Linked DNA regions of Rattus norvegicus. The main gene of each other region encodes a partner of the protein of the gene in region 4 in a complex. Links are inferred from orthologs where the notes say so. Each region holds a gene or a part of one and is shown on either strand. Other genes may lie near its edges.

Region 1 (3,606 bases), on a different chromosome or scaffold from region 4:
TAATTTTTTATTGATTAGAAATTTAGTTACATGAAAAGGAAAAGACTCAATTGTTTACATATTTTAAAATCCACAATATTTAGGAATTCTCACCTCCTCCCAAAATGCTGTTACATTCTCCATGACTAGGCCTGTGAACATTAAGTTATACTCCAGCACTTTATATTCTTGAGTCTGTAGGAAATCCTAGTCAATAAAAACCAAACCTCTCAATTATAGAATCATAGTAGCAAAAAATGTATTGTTATAGCATTTTACATTCTAACATTACAGTGCCTTGTATGGATTGTAGCAAGTTAGAAGTTGTTTATTAATTATTAACTTACGATTGTCTTAAAGTGACAAGCAGTAGAATTCATCATAGACAAAACATATTCATTAAATAAATTAGTTTATGAAATTAGTTTTATATATTTGATATCACTGCACAATTGCTTCTTTCTTACACTGCTGTATGGAACATGAATTCCTAATGAAACCCTGACAATTATTCATGTCTCAGTTCAAGGCTGATACAAAATTTTTTCTTCACTCTCTTTACAAGCAACATCACAGTCATTGCCTTTCTCTATAAAGGGAAGTATAAGGACTTCTAGAAGGACTTCTGAGCTCTCTGAGGAAGGCCTCCATCAGCAAACTCAAACCACATAGTTCTTAGGAAAGGTGAACAGCATAAAACTTCAATCTGTGCACCTAGAAGTCTTCACTGGTCATCACTGCCCTCTTGTCTTTCTTCCTTGTCCCCTCCCCCTCCTTTATTGGTTTGTCTCATTTTCTTCTTTTTTTCAGATGTTTCTCATTTTTCTTACCACTTTCATCCCTCCACCCAATTACGATGATGTCATCAGAGAAATAGAATTCATCACAGGGCCACTTTGATTCTAAGTTTCAGTAACTGCTCTCTAGTTACACAAATCAAGTTCACTTAACCTTGGGGATGAAATGTTGAATAGAAAAGGCTGAAAAAGATTTGACCACCTGGGCAGGGCAGACACTCTAGAGGGCAGTTGCTGTAACTGTGGAAACCCAAATTACTACATAATGTCAAATCTCCAGAAGACACTCAACACATGTATGTGTATATTCATGGATGCCTATGCACACAAGTACAAATGATATACCTCTACTTCTAATCACTATTAACTAATTCGAAAGTTTCAAAGCCCAAATACAACAGATATAAAAGTTAAGATTACATCAGCATGAGGTAAACAACTGGAGAACCATATAAAAAGTGGCCCACCCTCCACCCTACATTTTACTCATCATAATGATTTACTTTCTACATTGAATATTTAAACAGATATTTTAAAGGATAATAAGACATTTTATCTCAGAAGTTGATTCAATTTGCTATGAAGAAACTACTTTTTATGTAAAGCCCCAAATAAGCCTGTAAGCCCCACCTGCCCAGGGATCAGGTAACTTCCTGGCATGCTGGGAGCTGAAGTTCTTGGAACATAACAATGCCTCATGAGAAAGTACAGTGGCCTATAAGGCAGGCATTCCAGGGTTAGTTGGAACATTTTTCAATTTCCTGCTGAAGTTCATTTTCAATGTTTTTGGATATTTACAAGCTGCCTAGGAATGATTTATCGCAGATTTCTTGGATGGAATTTTTCTAGATTATAGAAACAATTATTTCATTTGACCCTCAAAATCTCCTAGGATTTTATTTCATTAGATTTTCACTGTAAATGAAAAGAGGAAATCTAATCCATTAACAAATCAAAAAATCAAAAAATTCATTTTAGAGAAATTTTCCAATTATACAAATTCTAAAATGTTTCCAAAATTATGTAAGTATATCATCATGGAAGTTACCTGTATTTTTCTTATCATTCCCAAAGAATCATACCATATCTGTACAGCAGTGGGGAATTGCCGTGTGACTGACATACGCAGGACAATGCAGAATGAAATGGTTGTGAATATTTTTCGGAGGACGATTCCATTGATGACTGTGTAGGGAAGCACAGATAAAAAGACTACAAAAAACCCTGAAAAGAAGAAGGCAGAGCTAGTGAAGAACCTCATATAGGCTGACCTCCGGGTCATTTTCAGTTCCTCCCTGTGGAAAACAGAAGATGTAACACATTACTTTCTTTCAATTATCAGATGTCTTAGAATATAAAATCTGAATATACAGTCTAAAGTTTGGGCAAGTTATAAAACTTCTCTCTTGGCCTTAATTAGCTTACATGACTGTTAATGAATAGACCATGTATTTACACAGAATACTTGATAACACAAAACCATTGAGAAGTTCAATAACTATTATAATTAAATTCTTAATTATAATGAAAATTAATTTAAATTGTATTATCTAAATAGATTTAATTGTATATTATTTTTATATCTTTAGTAACTTCATTATTAACATTTGAACTGATATGTGAAAAGAAAAACAATGTTACAAGCTTTATGAACAAAAATGACAATTTTGTAGTTATCCATCAGATTCTTAGCTTATTTGAGATTCTAGCTTGGCTTTAAATAGCATTGATTATATATATATATATATATATATATATATATATATATATATATATATATATATATATATATATATATATATATATATATATAAAGGGGAGAGGTTCTCAGGTGTTAACACAGACACAGAGCACCTGAGAAACATGTTCCTGGGTATTCTCTTCCCAGTCACAACTACTGAAGGTGAGATGCTGCACTAGCTTCCCAGAAGCTACTCTGTAGTCAGAGGCCAATGATTCAGTTGCAGGTGTTCTTCAAAGAGCAGGGAGTAGCAACTCCCTCCTGTTCCCTTTCATTGCAGTGTAATTATCTGCAGTCAAACCTCACCTGAGTTGCAATCTTCTAGTCTGCTCTAGTCCAAACTCCAACTGTGAGGTGTTTACTTTTTTAACACATATAGGAAGAGGTTAAATGCTCTAGTGGGCAAAAAGCAAGGATCACAGAAGACGGTGACAAACGGAAGATGGAGAGCAATAATGCCCTCACTCAACCCTACTACTGTTCCAGGAGCCATAAAACTTTACGCCACACTTGGGATCACTTGTAACAACAACCAGTTCTTGTGTGGGCAAAGACCAATGTTGAACACAAACTGAAGGCTCTGTCTGAAAGGAGGAACAACTAACTGATCTACAGCCTGCTGCAGGGAGGCACTGGACGTACAGAAGCTATGTTGCCACATACCTCTAATCCAGAGAAGTAAGAGTTACTGTCAAGTAGTAGTACTAAAACCATGTATTTTTTAAGTCCTCAAAGAAAACAATGCACTATTGAGCTCACTGATAGAGGTCATGTGTATAACCTATATTGTGATCAGCCTAACGAATTGTAGTGTTTTGTCTTTCAATAAATTTGTCCTGGAAGTGGACTATTATTCAGGTCCTGCCTGTCTTACCTATGTATAAAGGAAGCCATTTTTCCCCCTAATTAAATGTGATCCCATGACTAAAGAAAACTTAATACTTCCCTTGTAGAGATGTAGTTAAGCATAGATGACAGCATAGCAGAAGATGTAAAAGGGCAATGTGTATCCCTTTTCTTCTAGAGATAAAACATATATTCATGAGGCTAAGGAGAGAATTGTTTACAAATAGTAGTAAAGTGTCAAAA
Region 2 (2,943 bases), on a different chromosome or scaffold from region 4:
AACAACTGAACCACCTGAGCCCATGAGGCAAAATAAATATAGCCAGAAAAAAAAACCAAAAGCCGGGGTTGGGGATTTAGCTCAGTGGTAGAGCGCTTGCCTAGGAAGCGCAAGGCCCTGGGTTCGGTCCCCAGCTCCGAAAAAAAAAAAAAAAAACCCAAAAGCCTACCTAGTATGCTGGGTCATAATTCTCAGAGACCCAGGAACACCATAAACGCTGTAATTTCTAGGTTACCTGGACCTTCCTACCCACCTTCTGCTTTGGGTTCTGGCTACCACCCCATCCTTCTGTGCTGAACCTGACTGATACTGGGAGCAGGAGAGAGGAGGGTGCCATTTTTGTCATCTGACAGCCTTGTTGGACAGCCACACAGGATTTAGCACTGAGTCTCGGAGGGCTCCAAACATACAGGCCCAAGGACAGGGAAAAAGAGAACTGAGTTTTCCATTCCATGGCCCAGGTCCCACCAGAACCCTCAGGATGTGAATGGACAACCAGGAAGTGGGGACAAAGCACTTGACCTCAGCCACCTTTCCCCAAATGACTCCACAAAGCTTACCTTCCATGGACAGCACGAATGGAAGCTTTATTAATTTTTTTATTAAAAGGCTTTATTTATTTTATGTATGTGAGTACACTGTTGCTATCTTCAGCCACACCAGACAAGGGCATCAGATCCCATTACAGATGGTTGTGAGCCACCATGTGGATGCTGGGAATTGAACTCAGGACCTCTGGAAGAGCAGTCAGTGCTCTTAACCACTGAGCCATCTCTGCAGCCCTGAATGGAAGCTTTATTATTTTTACACACATGATTCTGATATATGTGGGATATAGTTTTACACTCACATATAATACAACGGACAGGATGTTAACAATATAATAGTAGTTTTATACGCTAACAAGTTTAAATATAAATAAGCTGGGGCCACCTTTACTGAGACCCCTGTCTTCCCTTTATGCACGAAAACGTGTGTGGAACCTCTTGGGACTCCGGAACAATCTGCAGGCTCTGTGGCAAGATTGTATAGGTCGGAAGATGAGTCTGTGGAAACCCTGGCAGCCTTGATATAATGGCGGAAAGAAACAAAGTAGGCTTTTGGATCCTTGGCAGCACTGGGGCTAGCTGTAAGCTACATTCTATTTGCAGAGGGGAGGAGGCATGGTCTGGAGGGGTCTCCTCTGACTCCTTCTCTAGCTCTCAGCAAACTTAGGGTTCATGACCGTTGTCGTGGCGCTCTTGAAGAGGGGGTTGTCCTAAAGTGGAATCAAACATGCTCTTGTCAGTGCAGGGACTCCAAGAAGTCACCAGAGCAGTAGAAGTCACTCTAAGGAGCCAACCAGGACAGGAAGCCTTCCTAGGCTCTAAGCCTCAAGGCTAAACCTGCAGCACAGAACACTCTGGGACCCTGGAGGCTAAGCTGGGGTGAGGCCTGTGCCAGCTCTCCAGGATGGCCCAAGTCCCACTGTGAGAAGTAACAGAGTTGGGGAAGGCACTCTGTGTGAGTTTCCCAAGCACCCCTAGGATACAGTGTACCCATCCCTACCAGTGAGAGGTCAAAGAGAAGAGGAAGCCCCTGTGTGCTCTGGGGGTTCTCAAAGAAAGGCCACTCACGTTGTTCCACTGGGACTTGAGTTTCTCCTTCTCAAAGCGTCTGTATTCATTGAGGTCAGTCAGGTGGGTAAGAGCCTTCCAGATGACCAGGAGGAGGACACCAATCAGTACAACGCCGGCCACAGTGCCCCCTATGATGGCAGCCACGTTGGGGCCTTTCACACACTCTAAGGAAGAGGCACACAACCAAGGGTCAGCCCCTCCCTACAGTAGCCAGTGTGCCATGCTATTCCTGCCACGGGGGAAAATCACCCTTTGCCACAACTCTCGAGGAGATGAGAGAATCTAGCTACACCCCTACCAGAGATGCTTCCAAAGGAAACATGAAGGCTGTTTGGCCAGGTCAGTGGCCAACCCGAGGAAAGCTTTGTTGAAATAACAGCATCCCTGGTCACCACCTACTGGTGTTCCCAAACTAGGGCTGTGTTTGAGGCACCCCCGACTATCTCATTGTGCAGTATGAGAATTGGCCGTAATGTCTGAGCTGGTACGTCCAGGCAAAGGGATTCCGTAGTAACCAGTGGCAGGAACCAGAGACCTGTGGTCAGCCATGTGACGATCAGGACACTGTCCCAAGGTCCAGGGCTGGGCTGGCCTCTCCTGGGTATGGGTTCTGGAAGGGCTACACAGCAGACCCCTGACTGTGAGACAGGGGTACTAACAGTCAGGGTGGACCTCTCCCTGCCAGGTGGGTCCCCAACAACATGGCATAGGATCTCTCATATCATCGTGGCCTTTTCAGGGAGGCGTGTTGCCTTCGCAGAGGTTAAATAAATTTGGCCAAGGTGGCGCAAAACCAACATGTTTGTCGTGGTGGAGAGGAGGAGCCCTTGCTCTGGAACCAGCAGTCCCAAATGCCAAGGGCAAAGTCTGCATCCTATCTGTCTTTTAGGGGTTCCTGACTTGAAGACAGGCTCAGGGAGGCTGCAGGTCTTAGTCCTGTAGGAGCCTGGTAGGCTGCTAACCTGAGCTTCCGGTGGTCCTGAGTGGCTCCTCAGCAGTTCCCCTCAGCAATCTGAGTCTGGATGCGGTGGGAGGCTGAAATTCTAAGTCTGCTTGCCTAAGTCTGTATAAGGCATTCTGTCCTATCTTTTGCCCAAATGCATCATGCCGTCCCTCTTTGGTCCTCGTTATTCAACGCATTCCCGAGCCCTTTGGCATCTGACTTCTTACTTCATCCGTTGGGGACCCCAGGACCCATCACCTGTTTTTCTCAGTGCCACTTCTCTGAGTTCCATGCACAGGGAGACTCTCTGCCACCCTCCAGCCCACCCTGCCTGCTCATTTCCTCTCTGTTAAGTCCTAGACCAAACAGCAGTTTTACCCG
Region 3 (4,392 bases), on a different chromosome or scaffold from region 4:
GAGATATAGCAGATATAATGTATCAGGCTCAGTGACTAAGAGGCTCTTCTCAAGGACTTGGGTTCGGTTTCCATGACAGCTTACAACCATCTATAACTTCTGCTCCAGGGATCGGATGCTCTCTTCTGCCCTCCAAGGGTACCAGCCACACACGTGGTGCACAGACACAATAATAAAATGAAATATAAATCCCAACATCAAAGGGGGATTTCTTCTTAGGCATCCTTCCTCTGGCTACTGCGTTCCCTGTGTGAAGCCACCTTTCCCTGAGCACACACGTCCCCATCTCTACTCCTCGCCTCTCTTCCGCTCTTCTAGACTTGAAGGCTGCCGAATAAAGTTTACTCAATTCCTTCACTTAACAGATATGGAGACTGAGGCGGGGGAAGTGGAGAGGCAGGCAGTGCTAGGTGTGCTACGGAACCATTGAGGGATCTAGGTGGGATAGAATCTGGTGCTGCCTGAACTGCGGCTTGGAAAAGATTGGGGTGCAGATGTTTCTGTTCCAGACTGTCCCACCCTTTTTCCTTCCTGCCTTCTTTTTGTTTTTGAGAGAGATCTCATTGTATAACCATAACCCTGCCTTGCCTGTAGCTCACTGCGAACACCAGGCTGGCCTCAAAAATCACAGAGATCTATCTGTCTCTGCCTCCCACATGTACCACTGGATTTAAAAAAAAGTATGTGGGGTTTGGGGATTTAGCTCAATGGTAGAGTGCTTGCCTAGCAAGCACAAGGCCCTGGGTTCGGTCCTCAGTTCCAACAACAACAACAACAACAAAAAGTATGCATATGCAGGTGTACCTGTGTGGATATGTGCATATGGATTCAGATGCCCATGGAGAGTGAGTTACAGGCAGTGGTGAGATGCCTGAAGCAGGCTGGGAATAGAATTCAGGTTTTCCAGAAAACAGTGTGTGGTTTTCCACCCCCTTAGATTTTATTGATTTTTATTTTGTGAATATGAGTGCTTCTTACTGTATGTACATCTATGTACCACATGCATGACTTGGAGGCTGAAGAGTATGTTGGATCCTCTGGAACTAGAGATACAGAAAGTTGTGAGCTGGCATACCATGTGGGTGCTGCGAATGGAATCCAGGATGGAAGGGCTTTTTTTTTTTTTTAAGATTTTATTATTTTATGTATGTGAATACACTGTGGCTGTCTTCATGCACACCAGAAGAGGGCATCGGATCCCATTACAGATGGTTGTGAGCCACCATGTGATTGCTGGGAATTGAACTCAGGCCCTCTGGAAGAGCAGCCAGTGCTCTTAACCACTGAGCCATCTCCACAGCTCACAGACCCTTCCTTAAGCTACTCTGTCCACCCTGGGTACCTGAAGCCTATACAAAGGCTGATAGGTTTCTGAGACCCCTCCCTTGCTCTGGCATCTGTCCCTTCCCACCATTTTGGAAAAGCTGCTGAATCCATAGAGGGATGTGAAACTGAGGAGAGATCCCGAGCTGGGGTAAGGTGTGGCTTGGCAACCACAAGCTAAGTTTAGAGGACCAGAGCTTGGGCCCTCCCTGAGGACCCATGTGTCTGTCTTTATATTCCATTACAGGCCATGGTGGATTCATCAACTGTTCTCATTTTTCTGCTCGTTCTGGGCGGAGGTCAGAGTGAGTTAGATACCAAGATTACGTCCTCAGGGGAGACCACAGAATGGGAGGATCCTGACCTGTCTCCACAGGGATCCTGCCAGCCAGCTCCTTCCTGCCAGAAGTGTATACTCTCACACCCCAGCTGTGCATGGTGCAAGCAACTGGTAAACATGGGTCTGCGGCCCCTGAACACGTGGGGTGCGTGTTGGGTGGGCATATTTGTGCTTTTTCTGGGTATACTCTTCAGTCTCACGTGTGGCTGAATTTGGACAGACAGGATTCCGACGTGTGACTCATATGCACATAAGTTTCTGTGCATACGTGGACGGAACCCGTGACCCATGAGCTCAGAGGAAGATGTCCTTGTGGGAGTTCATGCTTCTGCATGTGAGAAAGTGGCCTGGCCAGTTAAATTCTGTGACAATATGGAACAGAAAAATATCTCTTATGAATTGAGAGGCTTGGAATTCAAGAGCAAAATACTGGCCCGTTTGGTTCTCTCTGGACGATTTTTCCTGGCTTAGAGATGGGCCACCTTCTTGTTATATTATTACATGGGAATTGGGGTTTGGGGAGAGGGTCCCTTTGCTGTGGATTCTTTTAAAATGATATTTATTTTTATGTGAACGTGTGTTAGTATGTGGATGTGCACCCCATGTCTGCAGGCATCTGTCAAGGACAAAAAAAGGGCATTGGATCCCTTAGAAGTGGAGTTACCATGTAAACCACCATTCGGGTGCTGGGAACTGAACTTGTGTTTCTCTGGAAGAGCAGTGAGTGAGGTTAACCACTGAGCCACCTCTCCAGCCCTTCCTGTCGCATCTGAAGAGGGCACATCCCATCGTGAGGGTCTCACCCTTAGGACTTCACCTAAACCCAACCATTGCCCAAAGGCCTCACTTCACATACCATCACAACGAGAGTTAAACATTAAACCCAGGTGGGGAATTGTGGCACATGCCTTTTTTTTTTTTTTTCTTCTTTTTGGAGCTGGGGACCGAACCCAGGGCCTTGCGCTTCCTAGGCAAGCGCTCTACCACTGAGCTAAATCCCCAACCCCGGCACATGCCTTTAATTCAAGCACTTGGGTGGCAGAGGAAGCAGGTCTCTGTGAGTCCGAAGCCAGCCTGGTCTACAACACAGATTCCAGGACAGACAGAGCTACATATTGAGGTTCTGTCTCAGACAGTAGATAGATGGATAGATGATAGATAGATAGATAGATAGATAGATAGATAGATAGATGGATGGACAGACAGATGGAGGGACAGACAGACAGAGGGACAGACAGATAACCACAGAGAATTTGGAAGAAGAATCCAGTCCATAGCAGAATGTACATGATGGGGCTTCTGAGTCTGTCTCAGGTATGAATGTGTGGATCACTATTTCCCAGCATGCAACTTGGAGAAGGAAGTAAATGAAGGCTTCCAAAAGCCTGTGGACTTAGGTGAGATTGGTGGGAGGAGGCCAGTGGGAAGCCCTGGGGTACCTGAGGGACAAAGGATGCTGCGGAGTGTGTAATCCTTGCTGGTCAAAAAAATGCTGTTCTTGATGGATGCCTTAAAGAGGAAGTGCTCCAAGAAGAGCTTCAGCAGCAGTCTCTCACAGGAAGATGGAGACTTAGATCAGTGCAGACTTGGTAAGTAAGATATAGGGCACACTGACAGGCAGCCATATTTACAACTGCCTAAAGGGACCACGAAACCATTGATAGTGAAACTGGAAGATAGACTCTGTAGGCAGGGAGGTAAAGGTTCTAGACAGTGGCTAGAGAGATAAGACTCTGGGGACAGCCTCTGATCTGTGTCTACCTCTTCCGTTCCCTAGGGGCTGGCACCAATGCCCACCGAGAAGCCACCTAACCATTTCCTTCCCCTGTGGCTTGTCAGTCAGTGTAGGGTACCAGACGTAGTGAGTGTGTGTGTGTGTGTGTGTGTGTGTGTGTGTGTACGCGCGCGCGTGTGCGCGGACGTGTCTGTCTTTATCATCCTCCTTCCCAGAAACTGGTGTGATTGACCGACCCCCTTCCTATTTTAATCTGGTCATGCAGGGGAAGTTGGACTACGGGGTGGTTTTTCTGTATCCTTGAGGTCCCAGAGATCTCAACCGGAAGTCTGTGGCTCTAGTGAGAAAGGATAGGTGGGAGGCTGTGGGGAAAGGGGAATTGAGATCAGGAAAAGGGCGAGGGACTGCTACAGGAAGTTGGGTGCTGATGAAGAAGAAAGGACTATAGGTTTTCCAAGTAGCTGTGGAGAACGTGAACTGTGAAAATAATCAGGGCTCTGGAAAGCTGGTTGAGAACAGAGCGGGATGTGTAGGTGATTGCAGGCGGTGGGGTTTGCAGGATGGTGTTGGTAGTCGGGTTGAGAACCGTGGGAGCTGGGGTTCAGTGTGCCTCCTCTTGGTGTACAGAACTTCACTGCCTCGGGGGAGGCAGAGGCGAGGCGCTGCGCGCGGCGTGAGGAGCTACTGGCCCGCGGGTGCCCCGAGCAGGAGCTGGAGGAGCCGAGAGGCCACCAGGAGGTGCTGCAGGACAGGCCACTCAGCCAGGGAGACCGCGGCGAGGGGGCCACCCAGCTGGCCCCGCAGCGGATCCGCGTCACGTTGCGACCAGGTGAGTCTTGGGCGGCACAGGGTGCAAGTCTGTGCTGGCCTCGAATGCATTGGGCTGCAGAATCGAGCCTCCCTTTCTCTATCAGGGGAGCCCCAGAAATTCCGGGTCCGCTTCCTCCGAGCTGCGGGATATCCCGTGGACCTGTACTACCTTATGGACCTGAGC
Region 4 (3,606 bases):
GATGAGGATTGTGTACCGGCCTGTCACATCTGGCACATAGGCCACTGTGTATGTGCCATCATGATTATCTTGGATGTGTGTCTTCTTGGGCTTGCCTTCAGGGTCCTATGAGGCAAAGAGCAGGCAAGGAAGTTGGTCCAAGCCTAGCAAGACCTGGACTATCTCAGGCCTTTCACAAATACGTCAAGTACTAGTATAACAGCGATATATAACAGGGATACAGCTTCTGGGCCCTTCATCCCTCATGGCCCCAGTGGCTGCCTGCCTGTGGCAGAGAGCAGAACTGAAGCCCCCCAAAATCCAGCATTCTCTGACAAGACAAGAGATATGACCAGTTTGGTGCCCAGGCTCAGCCCTGGGCCTATCCTAGGGCACTATGAGCTTATATGAAAGATCTCAAGTGTTGCAACATTATACCTGTTCTGTGAGAATATTGCATGTAGGGAATCTGAAGGGCTACAGGTTTTAATACCATACCTAATAGCAATGAATGTATGTTTAGGAAAGCTTGTTTCTTTCAACTTGAAGAAAATTGTACACATCCTAATGTAGTTACATTAACAGACCAGAAGCAGAGGCCCTGTCCTTAGAGCACAGCTCCAGACAGACTAGTTAGCAAAACTGAGCTGCCTGCCTATCTGTAGTCCTACATCCCAGCTGCCCAGACCTGGTTCCTTTCCTCTCTTCCCTAGGAAGCTCACCGTAATCTGGACAGCCAACAGACCCTCCCCAGCATCCTTGGCATCAATGGTGAACTCCACAGGCAGGCTGGCAGGCACACCAGTGGTGTTGAGTCCAGGTCCACTGGCCTTCACCTTACTGGCATCATGCGTGGGCAGCACCTTGACCTTGAAGGGGCTGTGAGATTAAGGGGTTATGAACCATCGGAAAAGCTTAAGTATGTAGTCTGCCCCCAACAAGCAAGTGAATGTGCTTCTTACCTCCGTGGCACTTCTTCTTCACCATACAGCACAGAAATGCTATAGGACCCTTCTCGGCTGGGCACATAGTTGACAGTCTGAGTACCATCAGCATTGTCCACTACATCCACTGGCTCCACCAGGCCTAGCCCCGGTCCCAAAGACAGACCCTTAGGTTGGCTCTTTGTACCCATTCCCACCCCCATCTCCCTGAAGGACTAGGGCTGGCCCCAAAGACTAGACCTTAAGTTTTTAACACCCAATTCTAGGAATTCCTTAGGCTTTCCCCCGTGCTATATCTAGTCAGTGGTCAAGTCCTGTCTACTATACCTTTTCTAGGGTTCTGCCTGATTTTGTGGTTACCTGAAACCCTTCTACTATCAGTGCTAACCCACATGCTACTGGGCCTAAAATAAATATGCCTCTATAACTCCCTGTTACCAGGTATGTGAAGTCTCACCTTTGGGCCCCTGTACTTTGACCTGCAGTGGGGCAACTCCGGCTTTGCTTGTGTCTACCTGAAAGGACTGAGGGAGGTTGGCACGGACCATGCCTGGGCTTAAGCCAGGTCCAGAACACTTGACTTTAGATGCATCTGTCACATCATGTACAGGAACCTTGAAGGGGCTACCTGGGGATTGATACAGAAGGATGATAGCTATGTAAGACACTGTGAATATGGCAGAGTCCTAGTTTCATCCTTGTCATCATCTTCTCACCTGGCACTTGGTGACCACCATAAGTGACGTTAAGGCTATAGGTTCCAGCTTCATAGGGGATGTATTCTACCGAGCAGCTGCCATCTTTATTATCCATACAAGACATCTTGGCCTCTGAGGGACCCTCAACAGCCAAGCCCAGGCCACCTGTGCCAGCTCCCCTGGTCCAAACAGACAGTCTGTCATTACTTAGGGTTCCCAAGCCCATTGCCTGCCCCTGCATCTTCAGTGGCTCACTCACCTAGTCTCTACTGTGAACTTGTTGGGTTTGTTGGTGGTACCACTTTGGATGCCTGGCCCATGGACACGCACCCGGGAGGGGTCACAGCCCTCTGTTACAGGCACCTGGAAGGGGCTGCTGGGTACAGGGCTGCCATCATAAGTCACATCCACGGAGTGTACTCCTGGAGGGCAGGACAGGTCAGGAAAAACTAGGCTTTTCCACTTATTCCCTGCCCTTCCTAAGGTACCCCCAGCACATTCATACCTTCCTCATATGGAGTATATTCCACTTTGTATGTGCCATCACCACAGTCTTGCACATAGGTATCTGTCAGATTGCCTGAGGGGTTGGCCACACGGGCCTTGACATGTGGCCCTCCAGTCTGTGTAAGAGCCCGGGCATCTACACTGAACTCAGTGGTTGCCTCTCGGAAGACACCTGGAAAAGGCCATAGCGAGGGGGCTGTGGCTGTAGGACTCTTTGCACCCTGTAACTGCTACCCACCCCCTACAGCAGGTCTCCTTACCTTGACCTTCAATCCCAGGCCCATAGCACTGTACGCCTGAGGTATCTACAGCAGGCTCCACCTGTAGCTTGCTGGGGAAGTTGGGCACAGGCTGGCCACCATACTTGATGGTAACAGTGTAAGCCCCAGGACAAAGAGGAATATAGGTAATGGTGTGTGTGCCATCACCATGGTCCTGAATGTATACTTCAGCTGGCAGTCCTGCCTCAGAGCAGATCTCAATCGTCAACTCGGCACTGCCAGCACTTGAGCAGTCTACTTGGAACTGCCCTACCTCACCAGCAGTAGCCCGCTCCAGCCCAGGGCCTGAGCACTTCACCTTGGATGCATCAAAACAAGGAACCACATGGGCCTTGAATGGGGATCCAGGAATGTGGGTGTCAGCAAAAAGGATGTTGATGTTGTAGTCCCCAGGCTCAGTGGGCACATAAGACACAGAGCATGTACCGTCCCCATTGTCCAGGCACTCAAGCTGTGCTTCACAGGGGCCTTCCACTGTCAGGCCCAGGCCACCAGTGCCAGCTCCCTTTGTATCAATGGTGAAGCGGGCAGGGGAGCCTGCATTGCCCCCCTGCAGCCCTGGTCCAAATGCCTTCACCTGAGGGAAGGAAGAAATAAGAAAGCAACTATCAGCCCAACCTTTCATATCTTCTTTTGCCCTAGGTTTCTTCCTTACCCAGAGACATGACAGGAATAGGCTGCCTAATAGGTCATCCACTCATCAATCATAAAAATAGAAATGACAAAGGTTCAGGAAAAATCTGGAGAAGATAGGGGACCCTAAGAAAGGAAAATAGGCTAGTCATGACGGTGCAAGCCTTTAATTCCACCCAGTAGAAGCACATGGATCTCTGTGATTTTGAGGTCCACCAGGTTTATAGAGTGAGTTCCAAGACAGCCAGGGCTAAAAGAGAGAGAGACAGAGACAGAGACAGAGACACAGAGACAGACAGAGACACAGAGGAGAGGACAGGGGAGGGGAGGGGAGGGGAAGGAAGGGAGGAAAGACGAGAAGAGGGGAGGAGAGGAGAGGACAGGAGAGGAGAAGAGAAGGGAAGGGAAGGGAACAGAGAAGAGAAGAAAAATGGGTCCTCCCCTTATAGCCTCCCAAAACTAATTACCTTGCTGGGTTTGGTAGGAGCCACAGCTTCTACTGGAAAGGGACTGCCAGGTACAGGCACACCATCATAGGTCACTTCCACCTCATAAGGCCCCTCT
Region 5 (3,281 bases), on a different chromosome or scaffold from region 4:
CAACGCCAAGCACTTTCTACCATAGCTGTTGACAGTCAGATCCAAGAACCAGAAACTTACAAAGTCCATAAAGAACCAAGACTTGGCATCACTTCCTCTGGAATGGTGGGGGTTGGGGGACCTCAGCCCTGCCCTTCTTTTCTGGGGGTGGAGAATGGGCTGACAAGGGAAGCTGGCTTCTCAGAGGTGACAAGCACCTGCCTGGCATCTTGAGTCCCCTCAAGCTAAGCAGGAAGAATCCTGTGGGGAGGGATCCTGAGGACAAAGGCTGTGGGGCTCTGCCTGAGACACATTGCAAGTTTTAAATTACACAGTTCCCCACACTCAACACATACACATGTACACACAGAGATACATCCCCACTGACTGACATTCTTCCAGCCCGTCCCAACCCACACCCCAAATCCCAAACACACATTTAAAAAAAGTCCTCTGTAAACACAATGGCAGAGACTCCCACAGCTCTGGCATCATCTGACGATGGTCTAAGAATGACCTCTTCTCATTAAGTCCCCCGGTAGGTGATATTGGTGAAGGTGGAGGTGGCCTCTTTATACAATGGGTTGTTTGCCTGCAGAGGGAACAGAGGAGAATCCATGGTCAGCTCCATACACTTTCTTACCCCAAACAGTTAAACATCATCTGAGAATATTATCCCGGACATCCTTCTTCAGAGTGAACTGTCAGAACCCAGCTACCGCTTGCACTTACACATCTACTCTTAGGATGGGAACAGATAGGAAAGAAGGAGAGGAGAGAGATGGTGTGTTACTGCTGTTTCTAAAGGTTTTTAATTCAGCCCATCACTTCGAGGGGGAGGACATTTTGGCAGTCCCAGAGTAGCGTGCCATTTTGCCCTGTCTCTCCCATTTCCTCTGCTGTCCCTACTTTTTCTTTCCCTTCATCAAGGGGGCAGTGCCAAGTGACATGAGCCAGAAGGGGAAATGGAGTAGGTGGCGTCAGAACACAGAGCCCAGCTTTTGCCGAAATAATTCTTGTCTTTATCTCATCCCCTGAACCAGTTGCTACACACAGACCTGCTGTGTGCCTTCACCAGGTTTCTCAAACCGCTTCCTAACAGAAAGTAATGGATCCTCCTTAATGGTCGTCAAGAAATCTAGAACATTCCCTCCATGTCAAGAAATTTAGAAAAGTCCCTCAGAGGCTCGAGTGCTGTACATCAGCATTGTCAACCTGGGCGCTGTGATCCCAGTGGAGTCATATCTCAGGTATCCTGCCTATTAGTTATTTACATTATGATTTATGAATAATTACATAATTGCAGTTATGAAGTAGTGGTAAAATAGTTTTATGGTTGGGAGCACCGTAGCATGAGGAACTGTATTAAAGGGTTACAGCATTAGGAAGGTTGAAAACCACTGAGCTACAGGGTCCTAACAGAAACATCTCTGTTTCTTGGGTTCAGTGGATACAAAGTCTGCCAGAAACAAAGTTTCAGACTAACCCTGGTCCTAATTGGAGAGTTACCTGGTCACTTGGTGGGTCCAGGAAAAATAAAATGAACAGGAAGAGAATAGACTAAAATTAAATAGACAAATGGTTCTCAAAAGAACGCTGGTCCATGGGCTGTCAAGCTGGCAGAGTCGGGGAAAGGCAGCTGCTGCCAGGCGTGACGCAGCCGAGTCTGATCCTCAGAACCCACATGGGAGGTGGGCGAGAACTGACTCCTGCAGGCTGTCCCCTGACCTCTGAAAACATGCCGTGGCCTAAGCACACATGCGTTGGGGTTCTTGTTGTTTAGACGCTCGCTTGATTGGATAATATCGGGTTAAACTGCATTCTGGGGTGTCCGGTGGAGCCAGGTTTGGAAGCCACCACCTCTCATTTGCAGGGAATGAGAAAAGGGAGGTAAACGGATGCAAGGCCACTACATGTAAGAGGTTGATCCCCAAAGTAATTCCTATATTTCCTCATCCCTCTCTTTGTCAGGCAGGCTACTTTGCTTCTCTGCCCTCGGTTTCCTTAACTATAGAATGGGAAGGATAAGGGCTGTTACAGAGATAAAGTGTCAGAAGAATTTGGAATAGTTCCACAGAGCCCTCAGAAGATGCTAGCTACTATGTCACTTTCCAATCATGTTTAAACTTCGGGCTTCGTTGCTACAGCACGGTGTGTTATATGTCCCTCATACAGATTTATCTTGTCCCCTACTGGACAGTTATTCTCCCTTTGACACAATATCCTATGTGCATGCAGCGATCCTGACATGTGGTTGCTGTAACGTAGAGGACTAGGAGGTCTCGTGACTCAGACGGACAAAAGAACAGTCAGAACATTTCCGAGTTTCCAGAGCAGAAGGGTAACTGGGGAACAACTGTTGAGGCTGAACCACCACTGAGGATCTCCTGCCTCAATCTTGGGTTCTTGAACCAAAGACTCAGAAGAACGCAAAGCACATCACAGCCACTCACTGTGTCCCATTTGGCTCTGGCTCGTTCTTCCTCAAATTTAGCAAATTCCTTCCGGTCATGAATGGTGATGAGTAGCTTCCAGATGAGCAGAGTAGCAAGGCCAATGAGCAGAATCGCCCCCATCACTGACAGCAGGACCACCAGGATATCAGGACCCTTAGGACACTCTGGGAGACAGAGACGGAGAGGGCAGGAGTCACCGGAAATGTCCAGGAATGAGATCGTTAACAAAGGGATACGGGACTGGAGATGGGACCCTCAAGAACAGGTTCACCACTTTTTAAAGGCATAATCTTTAGGATGGCAATAATCTGTCCTAGGTGGTCCAAATCGGGGTTCTCGGGCTGAACCTAACCCATGTGGTGTGGCTTCACCCAAGCATACATTTTAAAATTTAGCGGAGGGATGGCTCCAAAGCTAAGAGCTTACGTTGCTATTGCCCCCGCATGGTGGCTCAGACCCATCTATAGCCCCAGATCACCTGACACCCTCTTCTAACCTCCACCGGCACCCAGTCATGCATATGCTATGCACACATACTGGGAGGCAAGTTGCTCACACGCATGAATCTCAAAAACAAAATATTTTAAAGAAAACATTGATTTGGGGAGTAACTAAGCCTGGTGGAAAAACCCTTGCTATTTTCCATGAAGCCTTGGGCTCTATCCCTAGCATTACAAACACAGACACAGACACAGACACAGACACAGACACAGGCACACACACACACACACACACACACACACACACACCCCTACACCTGCTAATCCTGGAACTCACATTCCTGTAGAGCGGCCACCAACTAGCCGTGGGAGTTTTCTGCTTATCAGAGTCCTCTCCCCGGTCTCC
Region 6 (3,606 bases), on a different chromosome or scaffold from region 4:
TCAGTACCTGAGTACTAAGGACTGAAATCAAGGCCTTTTGTGTGCCAGGTAAGCACCCGGTCACTGAAGTATGTGCTCAGCCTGAGGACTATTTTAACAAAATTTTCACACACACACACACACACACACACACACACACACACACACACACACTTTGGGGGCTGGTTTTGAGACAGTGAGTTAAGTATGACTTTGAACTCCTGAATCTCCTGCCTCCACCCACAAGTGTTCAGATTTCAGGCATATGCTATCATATATCATACCCGCCCACTTAAATCCTTGCATGTTCAGCACTACTTCTGATGAATGGTATCTAAATTCTTTGCTTAGTTTTTTTGAGGCAGGGTCTGCCTCTATAACCCAGGATCCTTAAACTCTTCATCCTCCTGCCTCAGCTTTCTGAAAGCTGGGAATACATGGACACCATCATAGCAGGCTCATTACTCAGAAGTGTGGGGGAGAAGGTCAGGAGTTCAAGATCACCCTCCCCCCTGTTTTAGTCTCAAAACCCCCCAAAAGAGGCCTGGCGTGGTGGCACTCGCCTCTAATCCCAGCACCCGGGAGGTAGAGGCAGGTGGATCTCTTTGAGTTCCAGGCCAGCCTGGTCTACAAAGAGAATTCCAGGACAGCTAGGGTTTTTACACAGAGAAACCTTTAAAAAACCAAAAACCAAAACCAAAATGAAACAAAACAATTCCCCAAACAAAAAACAAAACACCAAACCAAGGGCTGGAGAGATGGCTCAGAGGTTAAGAGCACTGACTGCTCTTCCAGAGGTCCTGAGTTCAAATCCCAGCAAACGCACGGTGGCTCACAACCATCTATAATGGGATTCGATTCCCTCTTCTGGTTTGTCTGAAGACAGTTACAGTGTACTTATATATAATAAATAAATCTTTTAAAAAACAAAAACACCAAACCAAACAAACAAAACTAAAAAGGGAAGCAAATGCCTCCTCTAGAGCCGGAAGATCGAGAAGAGGATCTCTTGACTTGATTAAGGGAATTGATTTTTGAGCTGATAGCGCCCATAACTATGAAAAAGAAATGTGAACTGTTTGAAGCCACCAAACTGGTTCAGTTGTCTTGAATGCTCTCCATCCGCCCATGAGGCCTGGCCTCTAGGGGGCGGTATTGGGAGGTGGGTGGAGCCCTTAGGAGGCGGGACCTAATGATGGTCCACGTTATCGGTTTGGAACTGTCCCTTCCTCTATGTTGTTTTCTGGTCACGAGGGAGCCATTTTGTCCTCCCAGAAGCCCACGCCACGATGCAGGGCCTCACCAGAGGCTCAAACTGGCAAGGCCATCTTACTACGAACTGAAACCTCTCAACCAGACATATCTTTTTGTCGCTGCTGTTGCTGTGGAAGTGGACGCATGGGGTTGGGGATTTAGCTCAGTGGTAGAGCACTTGCCTAGCAAGCGCAAGGCCCTGGGTTCGGTCCCTAGCTCCGAAAAAAAGAAAAAAAGAAAAAAAAGGAAGTGGACGCATACATTATAGCAGCCACAGGAACCTAATCCTGCTTGGTTGATTTTACTCCTTTCAGAGTCTCAGCTTCCTCGACTGTGAAATGGGTTCACAGTGTCCAGTCTCTTAGGAGGCCCGTAAGGAATCCAATGCTACACTCTCAGTGGGTGCAACCTGGGGGCCACATGCAGGGGAGTACCTGGTAGCAAGGTTCGCACAGGGGACGTCCATCTTTCTGGTAGAATCTCTGTCCAGCCAACTGGCGGCGGCAGGTACGACAGGTGAAGCACTGGGCATGGTACTGCCTCTTCATGGCCTCGACAGCCAGCTCTCGAGGGGACACGGGCTTGTGACAGAAACCACAGACATCTGGGGTAGGGGAGACACAGGTTATCAGCAGCCCAGGAAGGCAGTACCCAATCACCACCCTGAATATGATGCCCTAGTGTGTCCAGGGCCCAGCCTCAAAGGCTCCCTCAATTGATAACAGAAGAGGGTTTATTTATCCCGATCGGCATCAGGTGAACGGCCTTTGGGAAACTAAAATCAAAGATGGTATTGGGGCAGGCACCAGGAAACACACCTTTTTGTTATTTTCAGAGCAGGGTGTCAGCCTTGGGTGTCCTGGAACTCACTAGTTAGACCAGGCTGGCCTCAAACTTAGAGGTAATCTGCCAGCCTTTATGCACAGCTGGTGATATCTCAGGCCAGCCTGGTCTACAGAGCAAGATGGGGATGGGGGTGGTGTGGAGAGAGAGAGAGAGAGAGAGAGAGAGAGAGAGAGAGAGAGAGGAGAGAGAGACAAGAGACAGAGAAAGACAGAGAGACAGAGACAGAGAAAGAAACAGAGACAAGAGAGACAGAGACAGAGAAAGACAAAGAGACAGAGAGAGGGAGAAAGAGAAACAGAGAGAGAGAGAGAGAGAAACAGAGAGAGACAAGAGAGACAGAGACAGAGAGAGTGGAAAAGAAAGCAGAGTTGGCTTTGAGGTATCGTCTCGAGAGAGTGCAGGGGACCAGGTGATACATGCCAACACCCAGATGATCCTGAGTTGTCAAGATCTTTATGTAAAAACTGAAGTCACAAGAATGCTTAGAGGGGAGCTGAAGAAACATCTCATTGCTTAAGAACACATACTGCCTTGCAGAGGACCTGAGTTCAATTCCCCCTACCCTGATCAGTCAGCTCACAACTACCTGAAAGTCCAGGGATCCTATGCCCTCTGGACACTGAGGATAACGGGCACACACCCACTTAGACACACAATTAAAAATAATAAAAATAGCTGGGCTTAGTCGGGCAATGGTCACACACACACACACACACACACACACACACACCTTTAATCTCAGCGTTTGGGAGACAGAGGCAGGCGAATCTCTGAGTTCAAGATCAGCCTGGTCTATAGGACAGCCAGGGCTATACAAGAAACCCTGTCTGGAAAAATCAAACCCAAACCACCACCACCAACAAAATTGCTCTGGAGACCAGGATGGTCTCAAAATCAGAGATCCTGCCTTTGTCTCTTGAGTGCCAGGTATGCACCACCATAGCCGGCTAAAATAAACATTTAAAAAAATAAAACAAAACAACAACAAAAACCCTAAGAGTCTGACGCTGGGTGTGGCGGCTCTGACCAGTAATCCTAGCACTCAGAAGGCTGATGCAGGAAGACAGCTAGCCTGGGCTACACTGTAAGATTGTACCTCACACCCCCCCCCCCCCCAAAAAAAAAATCAAGCAAGTGGTGGCTCACACATTTAATCTCAGCACTTCGGAGGCAGAGGCAGGTGGACAGACTGGCCTATTGAGTTAGTTCCAGGACAGCTGGGCCAAATACAGAGAAACTCTGTCTCAAATAACAAAACAAAACCAAAAAATTGTGAGTGGCAAAAATGTACTGTAGTGACAATTCGGGGGTTTTAGTTTCTTCGAAAAATATAGAAATATTATGGGAATGTGCTTTCATTTTGCCTTCAGGTATGCTTTGACTGACCAAAGGAGCTGACTATGATTTGCCTCGAGCTCTAGCAGAGATGTGATTTTGCCAGCTGCAGATAGTTTGGTTCTTTGTTTCTTAAAAGTATTAACTAGACAGACTTTCTTTTTAAGATTTATTTATTTATTATATATAAGT
Region 7 (4,162 bases), on a different chromosome or scaffold from region 4:
CCGAGGGGGCGTGGTATAGAGGAGGGCGTGGCTCCCAGGACGCGAGGTTTGGTGGTGGGCGGGGCTTGCAGCGACTAGTGGGCGGAGCCAATGGCGGACCAGCGCTTACTAAAACCCTGTGAGTAAACGGAGCTCATGGTGTTGGAGCGACAGGGCGAGTATTCTGCGCGGCCCCCGCTTTGGAGCTCAGCCACGAAGCAGCCTCCTACCGGAGTCTTCTCTGCCTCATCGTACTTTTCTAGGACATTCCAGTGCTGCCAGGGGGCACAGGCCTAGAGCAGATCCACAGGAGAGTGGGGAAGGGAGCTTATTCGGGCTTCCCCCAACGTGTCCCTGCCCTGGACTTGCTCCCTTTGACCTGTCCACAGTGCCCACCACAATGACGTCATTCCAGCTGAGGACCGATGCCCCAAGTCCTTGCCCGGTCTTGAAGGTTTGGAAAGTTTGCAAGCTTAGTTTTCGCGTCTCATCCCCTGGAGGGCACAAGAAAAGGTGGCGCTCAGGAGCCCGGCCATCCATTTCCACCTGACTCCCCCTTTCCCCTCCATGGTTGAGACTCACTGAGGTCGAAAAGCAACGAGGTACATGTGCCGTTATTGGCCTTCCAGGGGCACAGGAACACACCTCCAGTCTCCTCTTGATTTGCGTTTAGGGCCCTGGGGGCGCCCACCACGATGGACACGCTGTTAGGAAAGCTGGGTGAGTAGATTATAGCATTTCTTTTTTTTTTTTTTTTTTTTTTTTTGGTTCTTTTTTTCGGAGCTGGGGACCGAACCCAGGGCCTTGCGCTTCCTAGGTAAGCACTCTAACCACTGAGCTAAATCCCCAGCCCCGATTATAGCATTTCTATCCTGCCCAGTGCCCACTACCCCAGCAGTACCTAGAAGGAGGTGTGGCATAGGAAAAAGTGGACCATCTTTCCTCACAGATAACCTATTGAGGCCGACCTCTTCACTTCAGCTGAAAGTGGACTCTTAGGAAATTAACTTGAGACTAAACCAGTTGGTTCGGTTTGGAAGGGAACGTTTTAATAATCCTTATTGAAAAGACCTCTTATACTTTGTACACTGATTTCCTGCCCCCTACTCCCTCCCAACAAGAACCAGACAAAATTTCTGCCTGTCAAACTTCTAGAGAGGACCTAGTGAGAACTGGTTGGAAGGGCGGAGGTTGGTGAGAGCGAACTGGGATGTGTGGTGCTGACAGGGTTGAGGATCCTAGCAGTCTCTGTTTAAACCAGGTCTGCCATAGGTAAAACGGAGGTAATAGCAACCAATTATGCTGTTGGAAGAGTTAATACAATAAACGGATGAGAGGTATTTAGTATGCCCCAGCAACATGCTTTTGTAAGAGTGTGCATGTTAATAAACACACAGGATGCTTATTAAATTGTGTCCCCGTGGGGTTGGGGATTTAGCTCAGCGGTAGAGCGCTTGCCTAGCAAGCGCAAGGCCCTGGGTTCGGTCCCCAGCTCCGGAAAAAAAAAATTGTGTCCGCGTGATCAGACCTTCAGGGAAGAAACAGGAGACAGAGGAAGAAACGACAGGAGTTGTATTGAAACACTCAGGAGCTCTGAAGCCAGGAGGATTTTCTTTGGTTGGCTTTGTTTATTTGTTTTGAGACAGGCGCTCTCTCTCTCTCTCTCTCTCTCTCTCTCTCTCTCTCTCTCTCTCTCTTTGTGTGTGTGTGTGTGTGTGTGTGTGTGTGTGTGTGTGTGTGTGTAGCTCTGGCTGTCCTGGAACTCACTATTTAGACTAGCAGGCTGACCTCGAACTCACAGGGCACTGCCTACCTCTGTTTCCATTAAAGGAGATGAAAGGTGTTTGGCATGGCACCATGCTCAGGAGTTCTATTTATTCATTCCGACAGAATCTTGTTATGTGGCCCTGGCTATTTAACTTGTGGTAGTTCTCCTGCCTCAGCTTCCAAGTACTGGGTTTACTAGCATGTGCTACCACGGTCAGCTAGAGAAGCACCCTTTATAATCATCAGAACTGAGGCAACCCTAGGTTCCTTCCCCCTCATGGAGAGTCTCTGGATGCAAGTCATCTTGGGAAGGGGAACCTGATTTTTGATGAAGTGGCTCTCTCAGGCAGAAGAAATAATTTCTTGCTGCTGCCTTTGAGAATGGTCATTACTGTTCCCCAGACCTGGGCATTCCAGTGTCCATTTCAATAAGTCACTCAGGATAAACACAGCTACGTGGATAAGCCAGGACTCTAATCTTAGCAGTTTGACCTCAAAGCCTGATCCATACTGACTGTTAGTAATTTATTACTTCTTTTCAAACATCTGTAATTTGGAAGGAGATGAGGTGAGGAATGGAGGAAAGCAAGGTGTACCCGGTAGGCACTTGTAGCTTTGCCAGTCAGTCAATTTAGAGTGAGGGGAGGGAGGTAAAGCGAGTCACATCATTGACGCTTGGGGGAAAAGAAAAAGACATTTTTACCTTTGTTTGCTCAGTGCTCCCTGTTGCTATCCCTCCACAGTGCCCTCCCTGGAACCTGCGCCCCCGCCCCCAGCATTCCTGACAGGAGCACCACTCAAACAGACCCTAGAGTCAACCTTGCTCAACTAGGCGCTAAGAAGCCACAGGAGCACTGCTAAGGGGCAGACCTCTCTCCTTTAGTGCTCACCTCCCATGGCTGTCCTTATGAAAGTCCACTGAGAAGCCAAAGTGGCTGCCATTGGGGCCTGTATAGACAGAGAACTTCACAGAGTCCAGGTTCAAGGCCCAGGCAGGAGGAGCAGCACTTGGTCCCAGGAACAGTGGTGTCCACTGCAGAAGCCACAGGGTATTCCACGCACATGAAGCTCTGGCCATCTTCCTTCTCCCCAAATGTCCTAAGCAGGAATGGTCAAGCTCTTCCCCTTCCCTCAAGTCCCCACCACCGGAAGTTTCGGCTTATCAGACTGGAGCTCATGGCTTAGCAGCAGGCATGGCAGAGGGGAATAGCCTCTGGACCACACGGTCTCTAGGACTACTAGGAAAGGGAGGGTCTGTCCCGGGGATAGGTGCTGATGACCGGAAGTCATTGCTTCTCCCTTCTCTCCAGAAAAGCTCCTCTCCAAGTCCTGTAGTTTCAGTTTCTCAGCCACAGGCCCAGAAATCCCCTTTCTCCTCCTCTGTCACTGTGAAAGTCAGGCCACCATCTCTTTCCGCCCGGGAAAGTGTAAACATGAATTCACAGCTCTGTCTTACTTCACCACGGCCCACGGTTGTACTGTCCTTGTCTCCCCCATGTAGCTGACCACTGAACACTGTGACTTGGCTAGAGGGAGAGGAAGGGGTAAAGGAAGCTGCTCTCCCCTGATAAAACCCGAGGTTGTCATCATTTTGAGTAGGACATTTATCGGCTTCCTCCTCTGCAAGCCTTTGGCAGCCTCAGGCAGCCCCACTTGGCCATTGGTTTCCTCACATCTCCATCTTAACCAGGTCTTGGTGCGTTTACACTGGCACCTTCAATATTGGCAGTGAATGGCCGTGGCCTAAGTGGGATGAGATGACATCGTTCTGAGATTGTCTAGGAGAAAGCTCCTGAGTCCTCAGTCCTTGGCATATACACACACACAGGCACAGTACCTGATGACACTTTTTTACTGAATTGAGTACCTGAATCCTTTGAGAGCAAGGGTCCTTTCTGTTGTCCCGGGGCCTAGCTCACAGCCTGGCATGAGTTGCTGCTGAAAGGTTGACTGGTCTTCCTCAAGGGTGGAAGGAGCAAAGGGAGAGGGGTCAGATTCTCAGGGCCACAAAGGGGTGAGGGCCACAGAATCCCCTTCTATATGGGGGGGGGGGGAAGGGGAACAGAGCTCCATGCCCTGTTGGCCTTGCACGCCTTTTGCCCCAAAGCAAAGGGATGTAGGAATACAGCCACATATAGTCTGTATTTTTTTTTCTCCTTTTCTGCAGTGCTGGGATAGCCTCATCAACGCAGGACAAGTGCTCTATCACCCAGCCATGCCCCCCAAGCTCCACCCTTATTTCTGATTAACCACTGCCTTACCCCACTTTCCCGCCCTACCAACTTTGAACAACTCCCGACTCCTCCCTTCCTCTCACACAGCTGAAGATGTTGCCCCTCATTAAGCAAAAAGCTCCTTGGATTTGTTCAGGGCTTTCCTCACTGATGTGCCCCCAGTGCCAAGCTCATGACAGGCC

What was found.
Region 1: the proteins of Flna (region 4) and Cftr are in contact, whole or in part, in a crystal structure (PDB 3ISW), measured with the Homo sapiens proteins. The link is inferred for Rattus norvegicus from reciprocal best matches to the Homo sapiens genes FLNA and CFTR. Residues at the interface, in NP_001104026.1 of Homo sapiens: Thr2263, Gly2267, Ala2268, Gly2269, Gly2270, Leu2271, Ala2272, Ile2273, Ala2274, Val2275, Glu2276, Gly2277, Pro2278, Ser2279, Lys2280, Ala2281, Ile2283, Ser2284, Phe2285, Asp2287, Phe2311; in NP_000483.3 of Homo sapiens: Ser10, Val11, Val12, Ser13, Lys14, Leu15, Phe16, Phe17, Ser18, Trp19, Thr20.
Region 2: the proteins of Flna (region 4) and Itgb2 are in contact, whole or in part, in a crystal structure (PDB 2JF1), measured with the Homo sapiens proteins. The link is inferred for Rattus norvegicus from reciprocal best matches to the Homo sapiens genes FLNA and ITGB2. Residues at the interface, in NP_001104026.1 of Homo sapiens: Val2241, Thr2263, Ala2266, Gly2267, Ala2268, Gly2269, Gly2270, Leu2271, Ala2272, Ile2273, Ala2274, Val2275, Glu2276, Gly2277, Pro2278, Ser2279, Lys2280, Ala2281, Ile2283, Phe2285, Phe2311; in NP_000202.3 of Homo sapiens: Leu753, Phe754, Lys755, Ser756, Ala757, Thr758, Thr759, Thr760, Val761, Met762, Asn763.
Region 3: the proteins of Flna (region 4) and Itgb7 are in contact, whole or in part, in a crystal structure (PDB 2BRQ), measured with the Homo sapiens proteins. The link is inferred for Rattus norvegicus from reciprocal best matches to the Homo sapiens genes FLNA and ITGB7. Residues at the interface, in NP_001104026.1 of Homo sapiens: Thr2263, Gly2267, Ala2268, Gly2269, Gly2270, Leu2271, Ala2272, Ile2273, Ala2274, Val2275, Glu2276, Gly2277, Pro2278, Ser2279, Lys2280, Ala2281, Ile2283, Phe2285, Phe2311; in NP_000880.1 of Homo sapiens: Pro776, Leu777, Tyr778, Lys779, Ser780, Ala781, Ile782, Thr783, Thr784, Thr785, Ile786, Asn787, Pro788.
Region 5: the proteins of Flna (region 4) and Itgb3 are in contact, whole or in part, in an NMR structure (PDB 2MTP), measured with the Homo sapiens proteins. The link is inferred for Rattus norvegicus from reciprocal best matches to the Homo sapiens genes FLNA and ITGB3. Residues at the interface, in NP_001104026.1 of Homo sapiens: Gly2236, Arg2264, Ala2268, Gly2269, Gly2270, Leu2271, Ala2272, Ile2273, Ala2274, Val2275, Glu2276, Gly2277, Pro2278, Ser2279, Lys2280, Ala2281, Ile2283, Phe2285, Asp2287, Gly2291; in NP_000203.2 of Homo sapiens: Lys742, Ile745, Thr746, Pro771, Leu772, Tyr773, Lys774, Glu775, Ala776, Thr777, Ser778, Thr779, Ile783, Tyr785, Arg786, Gly787, Thr788.
Region 6: the proteins of Flna (region 4) and Fblim1 are in contact, whole or in part, in a crystal structure (PDB 4P3W), measured with the Homo sapiens proteins. The link is inferred for Rattus norvegicus from reciprocal best matches to the Homo sapiens genes FLNA and FBLIM1. Residues at the interface, in NP_001104026.1 of Homo sapiens: Met2207, Gly2208, Thr2263, Arg2264, Gly2267, Ala2268, Gly2269, Gly2270, Leu2271, Ala2272, Ile2273, Ala2274, Val2275, Glu2276, Gly2277, Pro2278, Ser2279, Lys2280, Ala2281, Ile2283, Phe2285, Cys2293, Glu2306, Phe2311; in NP_001337080.1 of Homo sapiens: Lys7, Arg8, Val9, Ala10, Ser11, Ser12, Val13, Phe14, Ile15, Thr16, Leu17, Ala18, Pro19, Pro20.
Region 7: the proteins of Flna (region 4) and Itga2b are in contact, whole or in part, in an NMR structure (PDB 7SFT), measured with the Homo sapiens proteins. The link is inferred for Rattus norvegicus from reciprocal best matches to the Homo sapiens genes FLNA and ITGA2B. Residues at the interface, in NP_001104026.1 of Homo sapiens: Thr2263, Gly2267, Ala2268, Gly2269, Gly2270, Leu2271, Ile2273, Ala2274, Val2275, Glu2276, Gly2277, Ser2279, Ile2283, Phe2285, Asp2287, Arg2288, Lys2289, Gly2291, Cys2293, Val2295; in NP_000410.2 of Homo sapiens: Trp1019, Lys1020, Val1021, Gly1022, Phe1023, Phe1024, Lys1025, Arg1026, Asn1027, Arg1028, Pro1029, Pro1030.

Annotation. Positions count from the first base shown.
Region 1 is NC_086022.1:47,590,100-47,593,705, reverse strand, and holds part of Cftr (cystic fibrosis transmembrane conductance regulator), read right to left. Parts: intron 2,072-3,606; coding exon 1,825-2,071; intron 187-1,824; coding exon 94-186; intron 1-93. UniProt on the Homo sapiens protein: Epithelial ion channel that plays an important role in the regulation of epithelial ion and water transport and fluid homeostasis. Mediates the transport of chloride ions across the cell membrane.
Region 2 is NC_086038.1:11,060,415-11,063,357, forward strand, and holds the end of Itgb2 (integrin beta-2 precursor), read right to left. Parts: intron 1,784-2,943; coding exon 1,617-1,783; intron 1,259-1,616; coding exon 1,196-1,258; 3' UTR 595-1,195; downstream 1-594.
Region 3 is NC_086025.1:135,236,253-135,240,644, reverse strand, and holds the start of Itgb7 (integrin beta-7 precursor), read left to right. Parts: upstream 1-1,573; coding exon 1,574-1,774; intron 1,775-4,025; coding exon 4,026-4,227; intron 4,228-4,312; coding exon 4,313-4,392. UniProt on the Homo sapiens protein: Integrin ITGA4/ITGB7 (alpha-4/beta-7) (Peyer patches-specific homing receptor LPAM-1) is an adhesion molecule that mediates lymphocyte migration and homing to gut-associated lymphoid tissue (GALT).
Region 4 is NC_086039.1:157,168,826-157,172,431, forward strand, and holds part of Flna (filamin-A), read right to left. Parts: coding exon 3,510-3,606; intron 2,987-3,509; coding exon 2,389-2,986; intron 2,301-2,388; coding exon 2,127-2,300; intron 2,044-2,126; coding exon 1,881-2,043; intron 1,801-1,880; coding exon 1,640-1,800; intron 1,552-1,639; coding exon 1,381-1,551; intron 1,066-1,380; coding exon 942-1,065; intron 859-941; coding exon 702-858; intron 106-701; coding exon 1-105. UniProt on the Homo sapiens protein: Promotes orthogonal branching of actin filaments and links actin filaments to membrane glycoproteins. Anchors various transmembrane proteins to the actin cytoskeleton and serves as a scaffold for a wide range of cytoplasmic signaling proteins.
Region 5 is NC_086028.1:90,061,823-90,065,103, reverse strand, and holds the end of Itgb3 (integrin beta-3 precursor), read right to left. Parts: intron 2,600-3,281; coding exon 2,433-2,599; intron 572-2,432; coding exon 506-571; 3' UTR 503-505; downstream 1-502. UniProt on the Homo sapiens protein: Integrin alpha-V/beta-3 (ITGAV:ITGB3) is a receptor for cytotactin, fibronectin, laminin, matrix metalloproteinase-2, osteopontin, osteomodulin, prothrombin, thrombospondin, vitronectin and von Willebrand factor.
Region 6 is NC_086023.1:159,176,302-159,179,907, forward strand, and holds part of Fblim1 (heterogeneous nuclear ribonucleoprotein L), read right to left. Parts: intron 1,838-3,606; coding exon 1,668-1,837; intron 1-1,667. UniProt on the Homo sapiens protein: Serves as an anchoring site for cell-ECM adhesion proteins and filamin-containing actin filaments. Is implicated in cell shape modulation (spreading) and motility.
Region 7 is NC_086028.1:87,922,978-87,927,139, forward strand, and holds the start of Itga2b (integrin alpha-IIb precursor), read right to left. Parts: upstream 2,857-4,162; 5' UTR 2,825-2,856; coding exon 2,637-2,824; intron 684-2,636; coding exon 562-683; intron 474-561; coding exon 376-473; intron 273-375; coding exon 110-272; intron 1-109. UniProt on the Homo sapiens protein: Integrin alpha-IIb/beta-3 is a receptor for fibronectin, fibrinogen, plasminogen, prothrombin, thrombospondin and vitronectin. It recognizes the sequence R-G-D in a wide array of ligands.